Linked DNA regions of Styela clava. The protein of the gene in region 1 purifies or fractionates together with the protein of each later gene. This does not show direct contact. Links are inferred from orthologs where the notes say so. Each region holds a gene or a part of one and is shown on either strand. Other genes may lie near its edges. The genes, in order: coatomer subunit beta'-like and coatomer subunit delta-like.

What was found.
Region 2: the proteins of coatomer subunit beta'-like (region 1) and coatomer subunit delta-like fractionate together in Homo sapiens (co-fractionation; 5 studies listed by BioGRID and IntAct, with this or other methods). This does not show direct contact. The link is inferred for Styela clava from reciprocal best matches to the Homo sapiens genes COPB2 and ARCN1.

What each region holds. Positions count from the first base shown.
Region 1 is NC_135256.1:19,757,925-19,767,469, reverse strand, and holds the start of coatomer subunit beta'-like, read left to right. Parts: upstream 1-5,516; 5' UTR 5,517-5,673; coding exon 5,674-5,676; intron 5,677-7,091; coding exon 7,092-7,197; intron 7,198-7,831; coding exon 7,832-7,950; intron 7,951-8,079; coding exon 8,080-8,206; intron 8,207-8,954; coding exon 8,955-9,058; intron 9,059-9,545. Other genes in the region: major facilitator superfamily domain-containing protein 10-like, read right to left, coding at 640-774. UniProt on the Homo sapiens protein: The coatomer is a cytosolic protein complex that binds to dilysine motifs and reversibly associates with Golgi non-clathrin-coated vesicles, which further mediate biosynthetic protein transport from the ER, via the Golgi up to the trans Golgi network.
Region 2 is NC_135253.1:7,645,253-7,654,465, forward strand, and holds the start of coatomer subunit delta-like, read left to right. Parts: upstream 1-5,664; 5' UTR 5,665-5,808; coding exon 5,809-5,811; intron 5,812-6,925; coding exon 6,926-7,049; intron 7,050-7,514; coding exon 7,515-7,654; intron 7,655-8,038; coding exon 8,039-8,218; intron 8,219-9,213. Other genes in the region: uncharacterized protein LOC120326790, read right to left, coding at 1-228; KIF-binding protein-like, read right to left, coding at 2,334-4,142. UniProt on the Homo sapiens protein: Component of the coatomer, a cytosolic protein complex that binds to dilysine motifs and reversibly associates with Golgi non-clathrin-coated vesicles, which further mediate biosynthetic protein transport from the ER, via the Golgi up to the trans Golgi network.

The DNA.
Region 1 (9,545 bases):
TATTTCAAATAGACGCAGGCGTATTTAATCAACCTCAAATATGCACTTGCAATTCCCCCAAACTACTTGAGAATTTTTTATGTAATTGTATTAAAAGATGATTATCACGCCTCCACTTTGAAAAAGGCTAAGTAGCTCTTTAATACATAAAGTGGGCGGTGAGAATCGCTATTGAACCGATAATCTCGACCTATAATGCCAACATAGTTAGGAGTGGTCAAACCGCTGGGCCATGGGGCGACAATTTTTTATAAATTGTAGGTTGAGTGAAGAGCACAAGAAGTTACTGAGATGAGAATATAAAGCTAAAATGTTGTCTGGAAGAAAGTCACTGGTGATGAATTCCTCATTGATACCATATCTCATGTGCTCTTAATTACAGCAGATATTTCTCTAGGCTACTTGCGCATGTATTCCCAAATGAATTTGTAACAGGTATCAAAATCCCAGAACACTGCAGTAGTTCCTTATCTAGCAGTGGCTGTTTGTGCAAAGCCTCGTTTGGAGCAAGAGACAGAAAAAAGGAATAAATATGTGGTATAAAAATGAAATATTTCATTCCGAGACAGTAACAACTACACAGAGTTAGCTCGGGAGACTATTCCTATATTCCATGTATTCTAAGGTAAGCGAGCCCACCTTATCATTGCTTTTGTAAAATTCCATAAGCGAAGGAAACAGTGGTAAAATGACTGTAAATCCAAACAAGTCAATGAGAAGAGAGATAAATATCACTTTGAGAACAGCATTCGTTCCATCCTTTTTCCCTTCCATTTGAACTGCGAAAATACAGAAATAGAGAATTATGGTGTAGGTACGTACCTAATGTCTGAATGCATGAAATATCTGAATGTAACTTACAGATCAATCAGTATGCGTGCTGCTATTTAACAGAATATATGCCAGTACTGCGGTATGCGGTGCTGCTATATTAACAGAATTAAACACAATTCACTATAATGAACTCACCGATTAGCAAGACAAACGCTGCTAACTACAGAACACTACAGAACTAGGCCTATCACACGAACTACAGCACAGCAGACTGAAAGTCCCAACAATCTACCGATCTATGCAAAACTCGAGAAACAATCCTGCTCGTGGCGGCCTTGGCAGATCAGCTGATTTTTTAAAACGCGTACACGCTTCACGCTTGAGGCAATATGTGCCCCGTCATCTATCTCTAGCATTTTTCCTTTTTTTTCTGCGGTCAATATTTCATATTGCTTGTTTGTTGATAGAATCGGTGTTATGTAAAAACTAAATTAAGATATGTGATAAAAGATGGATATTAAATAACACACGCAATCGGTCTGTTCACAATATTGAGCAATAAATGGGAATTTATTAATAAAATGGAGTTAGGAGGTACCGTAAATGCTCGTTTTACCGCCCGATCTTGATAAGAGCCCGTTTGAATAGCCGCCTGTGTGATCAGAACATAAAAATAAATAAGGGCCGGTGCTTGAATACCCGCCCGATGTAAAAGCTGATTTTTCAGTGGTAGAGAACAATAGGAAATAAGAAGCGCTTTTGTCACAACGCTGTTGAATTTTTTGTTTTGAAAATTGAAAAAGTCGCCGATAACGCGTACGATTGCCTTTTGCTTAAAATTGCCGAATGTTTTCATCGTTGTGACGTGTTATTTAGGCCGTAAACGCCTTTACGTTGACGTTTATTGTCTCTAAATCACAAATTTTCCTCAAATTTGTACCACGATAACGATGACAATTATTTTATTTTGTTACTCGCACGGAATTGACAGAATGGTGCATCCGGTGAGACTTATTATACGTTCATCGGCGGCGAGATTCTAAAGACAAATTAATGAATAAATCCACGACCTAAATTGTTTGACTGAAAATCGGCAATATAAAATACTGAAAATAAAACCGTAAACAAGTGTTGTTGAGGCCCGCGACAGTCTAAAAACGCTTTTCTAGGCATTGAAAATCGCAAAATTTCGTCTTCCTATGGCACACATTATGTTCGCTCCGCGTTTAGAACTTATCGTCACTAAAATCGAAACACGGTGAATTGTGAGCGGGATTTACCTTGTTATCCATTACTTTTACACTAAAATTGCCGTCGAAAATGTTCGTGTTAACTTTAAACAAAGTTGAGAACGCGACTTTTCCCGGTTTGTGATGATGTATAAGATAATTAATCTATAAAGTACATTCGAACAAAATTTATTTTACTAAAATAAAATTTATCTCTGAGATTTTAAAGCAGAATTACAAATCTTTCGGAACGTTTTATCCTTAAAAATAATCGGAGTGGCAGCATTGCGATTGAAAGGAGTCAGTGTTACAAGTACATCTCAAATTTGTGGAATTTGCAAAAAAGCAAAAATACGGATCGAAACAATATATAATCGGGCAGTTTACCACACATTTTTATGTCCGCGGAATGCCGTGGTGTTTTAGAGTGGCTCTTGTTTTATCGACGCAACCACAGTTTAAATTGATGACAATCAAATTAACAAAGCAAGACATTTTAAATATGCCCGTACCGGTCATGGATTGATTACTTTGCACAACAGAAAATTCCTTTTTCGTTAAAAAAGTCGGCTCTTTTAACAAGTGGTGTTACCGCGGCGACTGTTTGGCGTGGATTTCGATGCGGTGAAGGCGGGTGAATATGTATTTTTGATTTACTGATATAACCTACTTTATATGTATTTTCATTGTATGAAGTAAAATTGTACTATACGGATTTTGTAACAGATATTAAGATTTTTCTATCGGCTTTAACGAGTTCGCAAGATTGCAAAAATATGTATATATCAAAGTTGAATACATCAGGCAACTTATCTCATATTTTTATGTCCACAGATCGCCGTGGTATTTTAGAGAAATAATGTTTTTATTTTGACGTAAGAAGTCGCAACCGCTAGTTACGTTGGACACAATTAAATTAATATATAAGGACATTTCAGAATTTCGTAGTTGTCATGGATTGAATAATTTAAGCAACAGAAAAAAAAATTCAGTTTACGCCGAGCACTCAAAACGTCCGCTCCTCAGCCAAATATCAAGAGCATGAAATTCCCCGTTTATTTTCGTAACAATAACGTATCGTGCTAAAAACCGCATGTGCCAGCTCACCAGCACAGGCACAAAAATAACCTTGTTGAACGAGGCTTGGGTCAGAAAAAAAACACAAAAAAATTGAACTTTCGGACTGTCGTACATTCAAAATTCAATTCGATACTAAGATAACGTGTGGATGAGGTGACGAGAATAGCCAAAAGCCATGAAAAGTTACACTAATTGGGCATTGGTGAAAAGTGGTTCAAGATACTTACAAACTAAAATCAAAACTATGCTGGTAAATTCTGTGCACGTACACTCATAAAAACAATTATCAGAAAAAAACACTAATCAGGCGTGCACAGGTCTGTAATTAGTTAGGCTAATATCGTTAAAACGGTATGCACACAGAACAAAACAAAAATAAGCCATTAAATGAATGTTTAAAAGCATTGCGAATTGACATGGCCATATCATATGTTACATTACAAACTGTGTATGCATATATAGCTAATACCAAAGAGATTATTTGAATTTTCATTTATAATTAAAGTAGAATATTTAGTACCGGTAATAGCGTTTGCAGTATCTGCTGACAGTTGAATTTCAACCCCATACTCATCTTCATATTCCTGATTTATTATCTTTCGATTCTGTTATGTTGTCCTAGTATCCTTCTCATCTTTACATCGTCTGTAAGCTCCTTGTTGGTATTCCTTCAGTGCTGGTCCATTATTCCTTCTGCTACACAAGAACGCGACCACACCCGACGATTTAATTAAATTGTGACATGACACTCTCTTCAACCTAGTGAGTTTGTGATGAAACATGTGTTTCATCACATGTTGGATTCTTGTTTTCAGTACCGGTCATTTATGGTTCTGGAAGGCCCCCATTACAAGAAAATTCAGATATCATTGTATTAGTTTGAATATTTTTCAAATATTCGAGATTCAATTCGAAAACAATATCAATTGGATTCTGAATTTATCCGGCATTCGAAAATGTCCAGATCTATAAAGCACCAATTGAAATTTAGGCAGACGCATTATATTATTTTTAGTTTTAATTACCAAATTTGAGTCCAAATCAGATAATTCAGTGTCATTTTATCGTCGAATGTGATGTAATATAGTTCTTGGAAACGACCCTGACAAACGGGTACACTAGTACACTCGGCAGCTTGCTTTCGAACAAAATGATGATTTTGAAGATGAGACCAAGTTTGCACGCGCCATTTGGTAAAATGATTCCACAATTGTCAGAATACCATCATAAATTCAAGGCCGTAACTAAACATCGGCGAGGTATGGACAGTGGAAGAATAGGGTTTGAATAATGTAGCCAACCCTGTATGGATAACATTGTTATTTTGGCGAAATTTTACTCTTTTTTTTTTCAAATTAATAATATTAATCGGAGTAAAACTAGTTAATTTAGACTTTCTTAAAATTATAAACCGCCATAACTTTTTGTACTGGACGTAATTGAATTAAATAACCCCGAACTGTCGTTCATCACCAACACACCAAACCAACAACAAGCCAATATATACTTTGTAGGCTACCCCTAAAACCCGTCATTCAGTTTTTATTTGACTATATTGGTATAATAGCGCCTGTTTCCGGAGTTGAAAATATATTGTAATCTGGTAGTAATAACCAACTTTGTACGCGTATACTCTCGCAAGTCTTTTGGCTTCAATCGAAAATTTTGAATTTGCTCAATGGTTACGGTACGTGTTGTCACTTCAATGCCCTGTAATTCATATGAAGCATATGATAACAGAAAAATGTCGCTTTGAATCATTATAAATAAAAATATAATATTTAAAATGTTATTGGACCTACGGTGTTTCCCCGAAAATAAGACCTAGCCTGAATTTTGAAAATTATTTTAACTTAAGTCCTCCCCTTAAAATAAGACCTAGTCAATAACGAAATTTTTTTTGTTATACCTAGACGGTGGCAAAAAACTTTTCACGATTTAAATGATTGACAGTCTATGTTTTGCAGTTATTTCGAATAAAAACGTGGTATTTATAGGTAAATGGATATCGGTTTTCATATTTTGTGTACAGTATTTGAAAATCTCGTATTTTCCTACTTTGTAATTTTGTTTTTGATAAATGAAAGTATAAGACATTCTCCGAAAATAAGCCCTAGTGTTATTTTTCAGAAGAAACACGGTATACATAGTTTCCTCGGTATGTTGCTGTACCCCTCAACGTTCCAGAGTTCACAGCTCCATCGGTTACCGACTCCTGTCCCCTCTGATACATATGAAAATTATATCCCCTTTTCCACATTTTAAAAGTGGAAATAAGGTTAAGTCTGATAATGTTATAATATAATTGGTGTCGGGTTATTCGTATTTATTATTATATATTTTTTTCTTCTTGAAAACCATACTTAAATTACATATAAAACGTTAAAATTTTACTCTGATTGTCTAATTGCTCTTTAGCGCTGCAAGGTGACAGCAGAATAATGCTACGCGTCAGCATTGTCGTGTACCGTGAACTGATCACAACAATCTGAATGAGGATACCTGCCTACTTTATCTTTTCAATTAAAGTGCCCAGCTTGAACCAGGAAATTATTCCGACTACAAAGATTGATCAGATTAAACCAAAAGCATGGTAAGTATTTTTGTTTCATAATATATAACTGCGGAACTGTATAACGTTACTGAAATACTGGAAATATGTAGTCTAAATACTGAAATTTTGTCTTCTTATGTCTTACCTGTATGTCAAACTTAGGGTCTCGTGTAGTTTCGTACCTAGTACTTCTAGTCATACTTCTAACATACTTCTAGCGAGCGTATCGCAATAATTTTTTGACATATCAATCCTAACCCTCACCTGACTATGCCATCCAAAAATTATAAAATTACGTCACAATCACGTCATAGAGCTTGTCAAATATAAATACGATCGCCCAAAATGGCATCGGCGCCAACGATAAAGAGCTGACTAATGTCAGCGATCTCTCTCATATTGGGATCATTGCGACGAGAAAACGAGAGAAATAGTTATTCGATTTCGGATGCTCGTCTGCGCGTCTTGGACAACAGTTCGTATAGTTTGAAGGGCTCTATTACGTCACTGTTACGTCGTAGTGACGTAATTTTTGGATGGGTTAGTCAGGTGAGGGTTAGGATTGATATTTCAAAAAATTGTTATGCTCTGCCCACTAAAAGTGGATTAGGTACGAAACTACATGAGACCCCAAACTTACAGGTCTTCCGACTGTTTTTGTCTGTTTTGTTTTGACAAGATTTTCACAATCAGACAATGCAGCAATATTCATGTTATCAAAGTCAAGTATCCAATAATGCAAATGCTGTAATAATTTTAGTATTTGCTGGTTTGAGGCCAGGGTTCGCCATACAGTACAGCACACTATCCAAATTCCAAGAATTTCCCTCCATTTGGCTCAATAAAACAAACACTCTATGTGTCTCACAAACGAGGGGCGTCTGGGACCACATCAGATGCTTCATATCGTGCCATGCTTGTTTCAATAAAAATCTAAATTAATCGAGGCCGTCACATGACCAAAATTGCCGTTTTTTGCTAAAAACTTTTTTTTTTCCTTCGGTAAATCGGATTATTTTTTCCTAAGGAATTCAATGATGACATTACTAGAGTGCGCTTTTTTGTAGTATTTTGCGCAACTTCATTATACTGCATTATTACCGATATTGAGGGACAACAATGTCCAGACGTCTCCCAAAGAAGGGGTGTCTGATCATCTGTAAAATGGGTTTCTCTGAAACGGGACAATGTCACCCGATTTGTATAGTGTGCTGTACTGCCATATGATTACAGGATTAACGTTAAGCTATCATAGCGTCTTTCCTCTACCCCTAGATAAATATCTAAATCCAATCCTATAAACATTCAGACAATGTCTGAAATGTATCGAAGTTTTGTACAATGTCTGAGTGTTTGAACTTTGAAGAGAATAAAATAAAAAATATGAAAGGTTGAATCCAGTTCCATACCCTCAAGAGCAATTATTTACAACCAATAAAATGCTTTATATATAGCCTCTGAGACTTGACATCAAGAGGAAGTTGAGTGCTCGATCTGATCGTGTCAAATGTGTTGATTTACATCCTACAGAACCATGGATGCTTGTTTCATTGTACAATGGTGAGTAACCCAGGGATTGTGTGATAAATAATCTTGTTAGTGACATCATGAATAAAATTTTGAAATTCCATGCTTTTCTAAACGTGAAATGAAAGAAATTTAAGGTTGTATTCTATAGAAATTATTAGAGCCTAAGACTTTTAAATCACATATTTTTCGATTTATGTTGGTGTGTCCATGCAACTTTTAAGTGTAAGAATTCATCAAATATCAAAATGGCCATTGATGAGGTTGTTAGTTGCGGTTGGTAAAGCGTTAGGATTACGCTAATCATAACATCTCTTATTATCCTACGTGGGTTTGCAGATTTGAATCCTGTGAGGGATAATTATGTGCAAGCGGTTTGCTGGACTTCACTCCGCCGCAGGGTGGTTCATGTAACTGCTGGTTGGTCCAGGCTTCCTCCACCATCGCGTCCATGCATCGGAAAGAAATAACTGGCCAAGTCATCCCATGCATGACTTTTACTGGTAATCTGACGAGAGACCATCGGTACCCCATATGATCAAGTCATCTTATTGCTTTATTCGCACAGGAATAAATAGAATTAAGACTGTGCTATTCCATTCCTAAAAAATTAATTGTGCAATTGAATCAACATTTTTAATTTATTTTACTGCCTTATGATCTTCAGGTAATGTTCATATTTGGAACATCGAATCTCAACAACTTGTAAAATCATTTGAAATTTGTGAATTACCAGTGAGAGCTGCAAGATTTGTTCCAAGAAAAAATTGGGTTGTGTCAGGATCGGTAACAAAAATTTATTATGTTTTACTGCATTGTTGCTTTTTTTACTATTTTATTCAATTTTTTTTTAATTCCCTGGATTGATATGTAGTATTTTGCCTCATATGGTAAATGAAATGATCTTTTTTACAGGATGATATGCAAGTTCGAGTTTTCAACTACAATACATTGGAAAGAGTTCACTTATTTGAAGCTCATACCGATTATATAAGATCAATTGCTGTTCATCCAACACAACCATATATATTAACCAGCAGTGGTAATGTAATATTTATATTTAAAGGATTTTGCGTCTTAATTTTACACGAGACAAGCATGAAGTTTTGGCATCTCATTAGATAGCATATAATGTTTTTATTAAACGATGCACCATAACTTTTTGAGAATATCTTTTTGAATGTCTAATGCATAAGCTGTGTTTCTCAAGCTTCCATGATCCCAGGGCCCCTTCCAAAAACTCTAAACAATTGTGGCCTCTTGCTCTTCCATAAAAATTTGAAAAAGTTTTCCTTTCAACGCATTTCATCAGATATTTTTGTTGTCATATTTGAGAGAGTAAACAAGCCAACAAACAAAAGCAAAAGATGCAGTACATTCAAAGAATAAAGCAAAGTTAAACTCAATGTGCTTTAAATTCATGTGGTGATCTCAAATGGTACATAGCTAAGGCCTTTGCCTGTGGCCTTCTTGATGGGCCGATGGCCCAGTTTGAGAAACCCAGGTATAAAGTATATCATTTTGAAAAGTTCAAAAACAATATACCATATCATTCTTGTCAGTACTCTTGTTATAAGTGTATATACGAGTTAAGGTGGGATGCCACTCACTAATATAATTTTTGATATTTAGCATGTAGGCCTATAGCCTACTAAGTTGACACATCTTTATTTTAAAGCTAAAGTCAAAAATGAATACCTAGTTAATTAAGTGTATTAACAACAATGTTCTGTAATCCTCAAGAATTTATAAGATCTGAGGAATTTTTTTATAGTATTGTATTTTTGCAGATGACATGATGATAAAGCTCTGGGATTGGGATAAGAAGTGGGCATGTTCACAAGTATTTGAAGGACATACTCATTATGTTATGCAGATTGTGATAAATCCAAAGGTAAGAATGACACCCATTTAAATGGTAACTCAAATATAACCAGTTCGAATGCAATAGTAAATTATAACACAAATATAATTCATATTTATATTTTGTCTGCAGTCGAGCATTCAGCTACTTATTTCTAGATTCCCTTCGCTGAAATATGCGGATTCGAATGGTCTACCGTGGAATAACTTCTAGTCAATTGTTATATTCTTATCTTATTATGACTTTCTTCACTGAGCATTCTTCTGAATAATGTGGTGTGTGGTGCTGCGGCAATGCTTTTCATATTATAATTAAATCATTGTATCAGAGTTGACTAAATATAAAATATTAATATTATATAATTCAAACTCAACTCAAAGCAAAGTCTCGATCCTATCCTCTATTAACCAAACGAAGAACAAGTACTGATAAAAGTTGCAAACATACACAGACTTGCTATGCGCTATAAAAAGGTCGATCCTCAGAATTGTCAGTAGTTAGTGGTTGACACAAGATG
Region 2 (9,213 bases), on another chromosome or scaffold:
AATTGCATTCCTTTTTATACTCTTCCCGAATGCCTCCGACAATGCACGTGCCATTGGGTGACCATTTACAGAGTCCTTGTAATGCGATTTTGTCAAGGTGCCATCAATATCAAACAAGAGCAATCTTGGTATTTTATCTTTCATTTTTATCGTTGTCGTAGCAAACTCCCTGTAATAACGATGTCTAACTGCGGGTAAAAACCACGAAAAAATCATTTTTTGCATCATCCGATTTGCTTCTACCTTGCAGCGATTAACCGACGAATACGGCTGGAAATGTATTAATGTAACTGTAAACAAATCATTGCGCAATCTACGGCTTGACGTAGGTGGCGAAAATCATGTCGGAATAGTTATTGTCTCACCTTTCTACGCTTTTCTCACTGATAACAATTGACTACTACACTGGCAACTCAATCAAGGCAACTAAGTTTATTTTTCTATTGAAAAATCAATCGGTGATAGTAATGAGAATATTCTCATTGGTGATAGTGATTTGGAAAAATAGGACCTGGGTGCAAAACTCCGCGCGCAAGCTGTTTATCTCTTCTGCTACTAAATTTAATATTCCTAGCGATACCGGTATTCAAGAAAAACGCCAATGTTCTAATTTCCTTTGACGAAGTTTGTATAAACATTTATTCTATTGACCGTATTATAAGTAGGACATTTTAGACTTGCATGGCGGATTAGATCTTTAGTTTATTTAATTGAGCGTGCACGAAAGTAGGTGATTGTGAACGTTATCTCCAATGCCAAAATGAAGTTTGTTACAGATCTGCAAAGTTTATGGAAATAAAATGCCGAAGGCGTTCTTTTTCCTGCTTTTTTATTGGACGAAAGTAAACGCATAAAAACGCCCACATATTTAAACTGGTCAGAAGCCGAGTGTCTAAAATCACGTCTGAAGTCGTGCTGCGGTTTATATATTAGTTATGCCGAATATAACCTTAGTCTGTTGTCCCTGAATTACAATCAATCAATCAAGTTTATTTTTTTTCAACCAGTAAAAAATAAATAAATATCAGAGGCACAAATTACAAGAAAATAGTACACAGTTTTACTCGGGTAGGGGAACCAAAAATGGTTATCGAGCAGCTACACCCGGTATTCATTGTGCAAAGTGCGTCTATCGAAGGCAACCGTGCGGCAAATTTTTCCATTACACCTCGAGTCTCATATGAAATAACGTGAAACGACCACAGCCTGAACCAGCAATCGGATTATTTGCACTAAATCTGCAAGAAATTCTGCTTCACGGCACTGTTTTAAATCGCTGCTCAAAAAACGCTGACTTTGTGGTTTGAAGATATTGTTAATCGTATATTCGGTAGATCATAATTTAACGCTCAAGATCGTACTGAAGTGAATTTTCTTTTTGCTTGGCAGAAAATTATTATTGACACAAAATCAGTACCCTATATATAAACTGATTATCAAATCATAGATTTCCTCACAGGCAAACAGAGCAAAGACGAGCTGCTTAGTTGGTTTACAACTTTACGGAGAGGCAAACTGACAGCTACGAAAACATGATTAATCCACTTAAACATGATTGCACAATACTGCTAACAAATAGCCACTCTGTTCCAACTTGTATTTCAATGTTTATATGATAGGACAATTACAAATATATAATATACGTGAAATATTAAAACCAGTTAGGTATATAAAACACAGTGATGTTACTTACAAGTGAACAGTTGAGAGATTTTTAAGAGGACGATTATATATACCCGGTGCAAATTCAAGTGCATACCATTGATTAATGAACTACATTTGGTAAGTGACAGGGTTACAGTAAATCTAATGTTTTAAATTGTGTCTATTTCGAACCTTCATGAAATAAAAAAATACACAAAAAATACGAAAGAAGGATATAATAAAACACAATTTGCCATGCAAATGATGTACCACTGTGCTTATTCTGAGCTGAGCGGAAAACTGTACTAGATTATTGAGTTGCAGAATACCGACAAAAGCAAAACATAATTATGCTATGAAAATAGACCATGATCAAGAAAAAACACCCAGAACATTTCAAATGTTTTAAAATATACTGATTAACTTTCACATGAAGTGGTGCAACGATTCAAAACTCAAATATATATGTAAGAAGTCTTGGGTACAAGCGGTCAAAAAAGTCTAATTACACAGCTGTGACAAAGGCTAATGGTAAAATGGTCTAATAGTTTAATAATAAGGTTGTGGGAAAGGAAAACATAGCCTTTTAATATTGTTACAAAATTACAGTGTGAAATTCTTAACCACGATCTCTGAAAGTTTTAACGACAACACACAAAAACATTATTCACAAAATGTTCCATTATCTTTCATTCCATATATCGTTCCATTGCCTTTGGGAGAAGGACTTTCATTTCCCTGCAAATTTCGACTTCCTTTTGTACTGTTACCTCACATTCCGGTTTACGATCAACATAGTCAACTATCCATGAATAATATTCCAAGGACTTTTTCAAGAAATTTAATTTTTCAGATCTTACAGGAGCAATTATTTTTGAATACAGTCTAGCGACGTGAAAATGTGCAATAATCGCAGGATGTTCAACATCTTCATCAAATGGAAAAGGAAATACTTTTTTAGTATTTCGTAGTGTGTCAAGAAATTTAGTGAAATATAATATACTGGACCTACACAATAGGTTTATCTTCTTGATAGCGTGGTGTGTTGGAGTCTGAGTCGACTCATTAGCAATTGCAATTTTTAAATCTAACATCGCACCATATATTTCCCCAATTTCAAACTGAAGTTGTCTGCATATTAAAAGAAAAAATTGAGGATTTATCTCATTCAAAACTTGAGTAAGAAGGTCTATCCGTCTTTTATGCATCTTGCATTTTCTCTCTTTCTCTGTCTCAAAGAAAATCAAGTGTTTATACAGAGCACTCATGTCTTGCGTCAGCTCAATATTATCTGTGACAAAACCATCCATAACAAAGAATTCAAGAGCAGAATCAACATATTTTTTCGCTATTAGGAACACTTGTCGACTTTCTTCAAAAGTGGTGACTGGTAAATGTCTCGCATTCTCTTCTACAGAATCAACTTCAAGAGGCATTCTGTCATGATCTTTGGGTACATCATTGTCATTTTCCTCATTTAATTGTAGTCGTAGTATAGCTTCTGCTTGTCTATTAACATCAAGTTCACACACATCATTATATAAGAGTTCCTTTGAGTAATCCAGAAGAGCGAGAAAGTACTTCACCCAACAACGAGCGATATCTGCTTTCTTCTGTGGTATTTCATTTCTCAGCATGATCGTCTCATTATCATCATCAGGTTTCGGCTCAGGTAGACCTTCCTGAGGTTTTGCTTCTTCCATAATGACATTGGCACAAGCCAAACAATGTTTTGCTTCACGATACATATTTTGACAAATGTAATATTGTGATAGGCCAGCAGAATTCACAGCCCATTCTTTTGGATCATACTCTTTTGATTCCAGTTGACGTCGTAAAGTTCTTTGACAATATGCAGCAGATAGATCATTTTCATCACTTTGTTTGTACATCTGTGCCAAGTAAAACAATGTATGAGTGAAAATCTTTTCAAATTTTGCATCACGTTGCATGTCAGTGAATTTCTCTTCCTTTGGACGCAAACTTTCATCAATAGCGAAAGGAGAAAGACCCACTTCATGCTTATATTTATTATAAAGACTTTCAACTTTTTTAAGGTTGAACATTGCCTCGTCTCGGCCTTGATAACGGCTAGCCCATACTATTCCAAGTTCAGAATATGCAATCATGGCAATGCTAACAGCCTCTGGTCTCATTAAAAGTTCATCGTCTTTCAGAAGAGCAATACACTTATCAAGACATTCTTCTCCAGCAGGTCTTTCCTCAGTGTGAGTGTAATTAAATCCTAGCTGATATTGTATCGCAGCTTCTAAAATTTTCATGGATGGGTCAGATTCATTTTCTTCTCGTTCTTTATGTATTCTATTCAATATTTCTTGCAGCTTTTCTCTTGCTTTGTATTTTGACTTGAAAGGATCATTTTCTGGATCTTTTAAACTTTCTTCATCAGTTAAAACTCGTACACTGTTATATGCATCGTATCCCTCCGACTCAAAATATTCAAGAAGTGTCTGGGGTAAACTGAATTCAAAATTCATATCCAACTTCCTTATATATCTGTATATTAAATAAATCTGAAATATAGTACTAATTCTTCTGTTAAAAAAAATGTATTTTAATGAGTAGGCCTATAGGCACAACGACTTTTGAATGGTTTGCTCTGCAGCATTTTCGCCACTTAACTAAGAAGAAAGTAGAAAAAAAAGATCAATATTCTCAGATTCTGGAAACAATGGGACCAGTGAATGTTTACAAAATGTACTATTACTGGGGTCTTGTGTAGTTTCGTACTTCAAGTACTTCTAGTGGGCGTAGCATAACGATTTTCGCATATGTCAATCCTAATCCCCATCTGACTATGGCATCCAGAAATTATGTCACTACGACATCACAATCACTTCCTTAATAGAGCTTGTCAGAGTATAGGGGGATCACCCACAATGGCATCTGCGCCGCCGCCAGTCATATCGGGATCGTTGCAACGCAAAAACAAGAGAAATAGCTTGCTAGATTTTAGGTGACTGTCTGTGTGCTTGAATGACAGTTTGTACAGTTTGAAGGGCCTTGTTATGTCACTTTGACGTAATTTTCGAATGACGCAGCGAAGTGTTGGTTAGGATTGACAAATGCAAAAACTGTAAAACTACGCCCACTAGAAGCATGCTACTTACGGTAGCTATATTTGACAACGAAGAAAGACTGAATTGTAATCTAATAAACGCTTTCGCAAAAAATTAGGAACCTGGCTACCTTAGATTCATTTTTCGCTTACTTAATCTTTTTTTAAACAATATTTTCTCGTCCAATTTATTGTATTTATTTAGTTTAAAGATTTTTCATCTGATTCCGTGGTAAAATTATATTTTAATCAGCCTTTTCAATTTTTATATATAGCTATAAGTGAATCATATATGCGCTTGGAAATTATATTCAATGTGTAAAAATATTCTGGTTGAAATTGCTGCTAGCTCCACAGTGGTGACGGAAGGTTCGAATCACAACTATGGTCATACATAGGCTTACCATACGTCACGGTTTAGCCAGGACAGTCCCGGTTTTAGCCTGTTTTTCCGCCGTCCCGACATATAATATAAAAATTCACAACATGAAATTCTCTCACATCCAATTATTAAAATGAATTAAGAACACTGAAGTGCATAATGAAATTTATTTAGGTTTTATCTTCAGAATTACCCAGTTCATTCACTACAGAAAAGCATATCTACCTATTTAAAATATGCACAAAGGGGCCATGAATAATTGTTCATTTATTTATCACTATTACGAGACGAATAAACATACATACATAAAAAAAAATTGGGAAAACAAGATCACACTTGAATAAATATAAAAAATACGACAATACGATGCATACCGGTACTATTTGCCGAAATTCCGGTACTCAAAATATACTTATATTTACCGTAGGCTATATTATACTGCATCGTATTCATCTCAACGAACTCGCGGAGTGAAGACTGAAGTAAATGGGTAATAAGAATTTTTATTACTCTAGCGCGACATCTCGCGGGGATGATAAATCGAATTTATCGAACATCGCAGTAGTCTCCATTCAGCCGTTTTCGTACTTATGCCTAGCACTGACGTGGCTGCCTGTTGAACAAGGTTTCTGCATTGGCATACTGGCTATCGGTGTCGTTTTTGTTTCACATTTCTGAGGTTTGGAAATCTATAAATTACAATATGGTAAGTGATTATTATGGAATATGAATCTATGATATGACCACCAGTTTTGGATTCAAATTATGGTCCGATCTAACTTAACCTGACTCCATATAACGTTACAGATATAGGCTAACGCAATCTGGCAATGTTCAATTGTTAATTAGTTGCTGTTACTGTGTTGAGATGGATTGCTTATATTTTTTTTTCAAAACAGTGTTAAGACTTAACTCCATGGCTATTATCTCATTCAGTCCTTCAAATTAATATAAAATCTTATTTCTATATATCAACTCCATTCTTCCGAAAACAAATACCTGGTTAACTAATCCCATACCCGACCTGGTAACCGAACGAGAGGCGGGTCTAGTATAGTTTAGTACCACAGGTACTTCCAGTGGGCGTAGCATAACGAATTTTGCATATGGTATTCCTAACCCCCACCTGACTATGCCATCCAAAAATTACGTCACTAGGATGTCACCATCACGTGATATGGCTTGCCAAAGTATAATTACAATCGCCCGAAATGGCATCTGCGCCGCCGATAATGAACTCGCTAACGCCGACGATCTCTCTCTTATGGTGATCGTTGTGAGGCAAAAACGAGAGAACTAGCTTGCCCGATTTCGGGTGATCGTCCGAGTGTTTTGGACGACCATCTCCATACTTTGGTGGGTCTCATTACGCCACTGTGACGTCCAAATGACGTAATTTTTTGGTGACGTAGTCAGGTGGGGGTTAGGATTAACGTATGCAAAAATTGTCGAGCCAGGCCATCTAGAAGTGCATGTGGTACTAAACTATACCAGACCCCGAGAGGCCGTGGTTGGCCATATGATTAAGTCGTCTTATCGGTTTTCCTCTCCCCCGGGATAAATATGTAAATCCTATCCTATATTCAACGTAGGCCTAAGGTCATACTGCCATAAAAATTATGTGTTTTCACTTTTTTTCCACTAACTGACCGAACTAAACTATATATAGATGCTCCTCATTTCAGAGACAGAGTATTTATTTAAATGAACCAATTACGTTGGAACATCTTTGAATCGGAGAACTAGGCCCTACTGAATGTACAAAGTTTACTATCTGACTATAACGTTGAGTCATGGATTGAATTATTTCAATTTTTTAGGTGCTGTTGGCAGCGGCGGTAATGACCAAAAATGGTCGAGCCATCATATCTCGGCAATTTGTAGAAATGACTCGATCAAGAATTGAAGGTCTTCTTGCGGCATTTCCTAAATTAATGAATACAGGTAGAACTTCAGTATTTACCTATTTTATTGATGCCTTATCACAGTGTCTAGTTCTATGATTCAATAAAGCATTTTCAACAACCAAAAAAATCATGATAATATTCTGTCATGTAACAATGTAAACATGCATGTGCATTCATCATATCTTGGGTCAAAAGCCTATTGATTTTGGATGATTTATGTCATATAATTAGCGAGTTATTAATTAATTAGTGATGGGACACGCGGTGTCACTATAGAGTATAAGTCTTTGGTCTCCGACCGATTCCTTGTTTATTCAATTACTAGTTCATTATGGCTTCTAATAACTGGCTAGCTGTTCCCAACTGGCACTGGACGAGAGGCGAAGGTTTGCCATATGATTGCATTGTCTCGTCGACTTTTCTCCTCCCAGGATATAATATGAAAATCTTACTTTTATCTACTTTCGAGGATAGAAATTTATCAATTTATCAATTTCTTCAGGCAAACAACACACATTTGTCGAAACAGAATCAGTGAGATATGTCTATCAACCTCTGGAGAAAATGTATATGTTGCTGATCACTACAAAGAATAGTAATATTTTAGAAGATCTGGAAACACTAAGATTGTTCTCAAGATTGGTATGTAAAGTTTGAGGTAGATTCTAATATCGGAAAGGATAGAACTTCTGCAAGCTCATTTCTAACACCAACACATAATGACAAATTTTTTTAAATCTATTCTATTTAGATTATATGTACAAAATACCTTTCATGTTTTCGTTAATTTCAATTTTACTTGTATCCTTGAAATTCAATTTGAAAATTATAGAGAAAATGAATTGAAATCAAGCCCCAAATTTATTTGTTTATTAGAGTCTGTGATCGTTAGTTGTGATCATACTTTACTCAACATCATGCTGAAATCATGTTTTCTAAAGATTTTATGCTTTGTTTTCACACCCTTTTTCCTTGTCTTAATTGGATTATTATAAATTGAATCATAATTAATAATTGTTATTCAAGATTCCAGAGTATTGTCGAATCCTGGATGAAAATGATGTTCAAGAACATGCTTTTGAATTGATCTTTGCATTTGATGAAGTTGTAGCTCTAGGATATCGTGAAAGTGTCAATCTTGCACAGATTCGAACATTTACTGAGATGGATTCTCATGAAGAGAAAGTGTTCAGGGCAGTTCGTAAGGTAAGATAAGCTGACTTGAACAAAAATCATTTATTTTTTGTGAATGTTGGTCTTGGCGAATGGTAAGTCAAGTTTCCACCACATTCGTTTTTTAAATTTAAATTTTATGTTCTGGTTAATAGTAATTTTGAGATACCAGCGTCTACTGAAATATTACGATGGCTATCTATTTCAGTTTGATATAAGGCAGTGGTTCTTAAACTGGGTTCAATCGAACCCCAGGGGTTCGATGAGTCAGTATCAGGGGTTCAGCGGAGAGGAAACACCTTTGTTATAGAATCCCCGGCCAAACGTTATCTGATTGTGCAATCGGCGCTGTTTTTAAAAAAGTGTCTGTTTTGTCTTTGTAAGTAATTTCGTTGTGTAAGCGTAGTTTTCTTTTGTTCAGAGTTAGTTGTGAAGTATTACTTGATTAAAGCCTTATTAGGTTTTTAATGAGTCTGCATATTAAGTGAGTCTACTACAACAATGATCAGCATTGTTTTATTTGAAAACATTATTTTGTAGGGTTATAGGGTAATTCTAGCTTAGCACCGGCAAAACTAAAGGATCACTTTCTGAAGATGCATGGCGATGGAAAATACAAGAACACAACGCTCGCTGAATTTAAAATGAAAAGAGCCAGATATGATGAAAAGGCTACTCTGCCTGTTTTCGGCTTTGTTCCCATCGACAAACCGATCCTCACAGCATCGTACGAAGTTGCATACCTGATTGCCAAACAAGGCAAACCAAACACCATTGGGGAAAAACTCGTAAAACCAGCTGCGTTGAAGATGGCGAATATCATGCTTGGAAAAGCAGCTGAAAATAAATTATCTCAAATTCCTCTTTCGAATGACACCATCAGCAAAAGAATTGATAAGATGAGCGATGACATTTTGGCTCAAATAATTTCAGACTTGATTTCGAGCCCGGCAAAATTTAGTCTCCGACTTGACGAGACCACCGACGTTGCCAGTCTAAGCCAGCTTGCTGTATTCTTGCGCTATGTG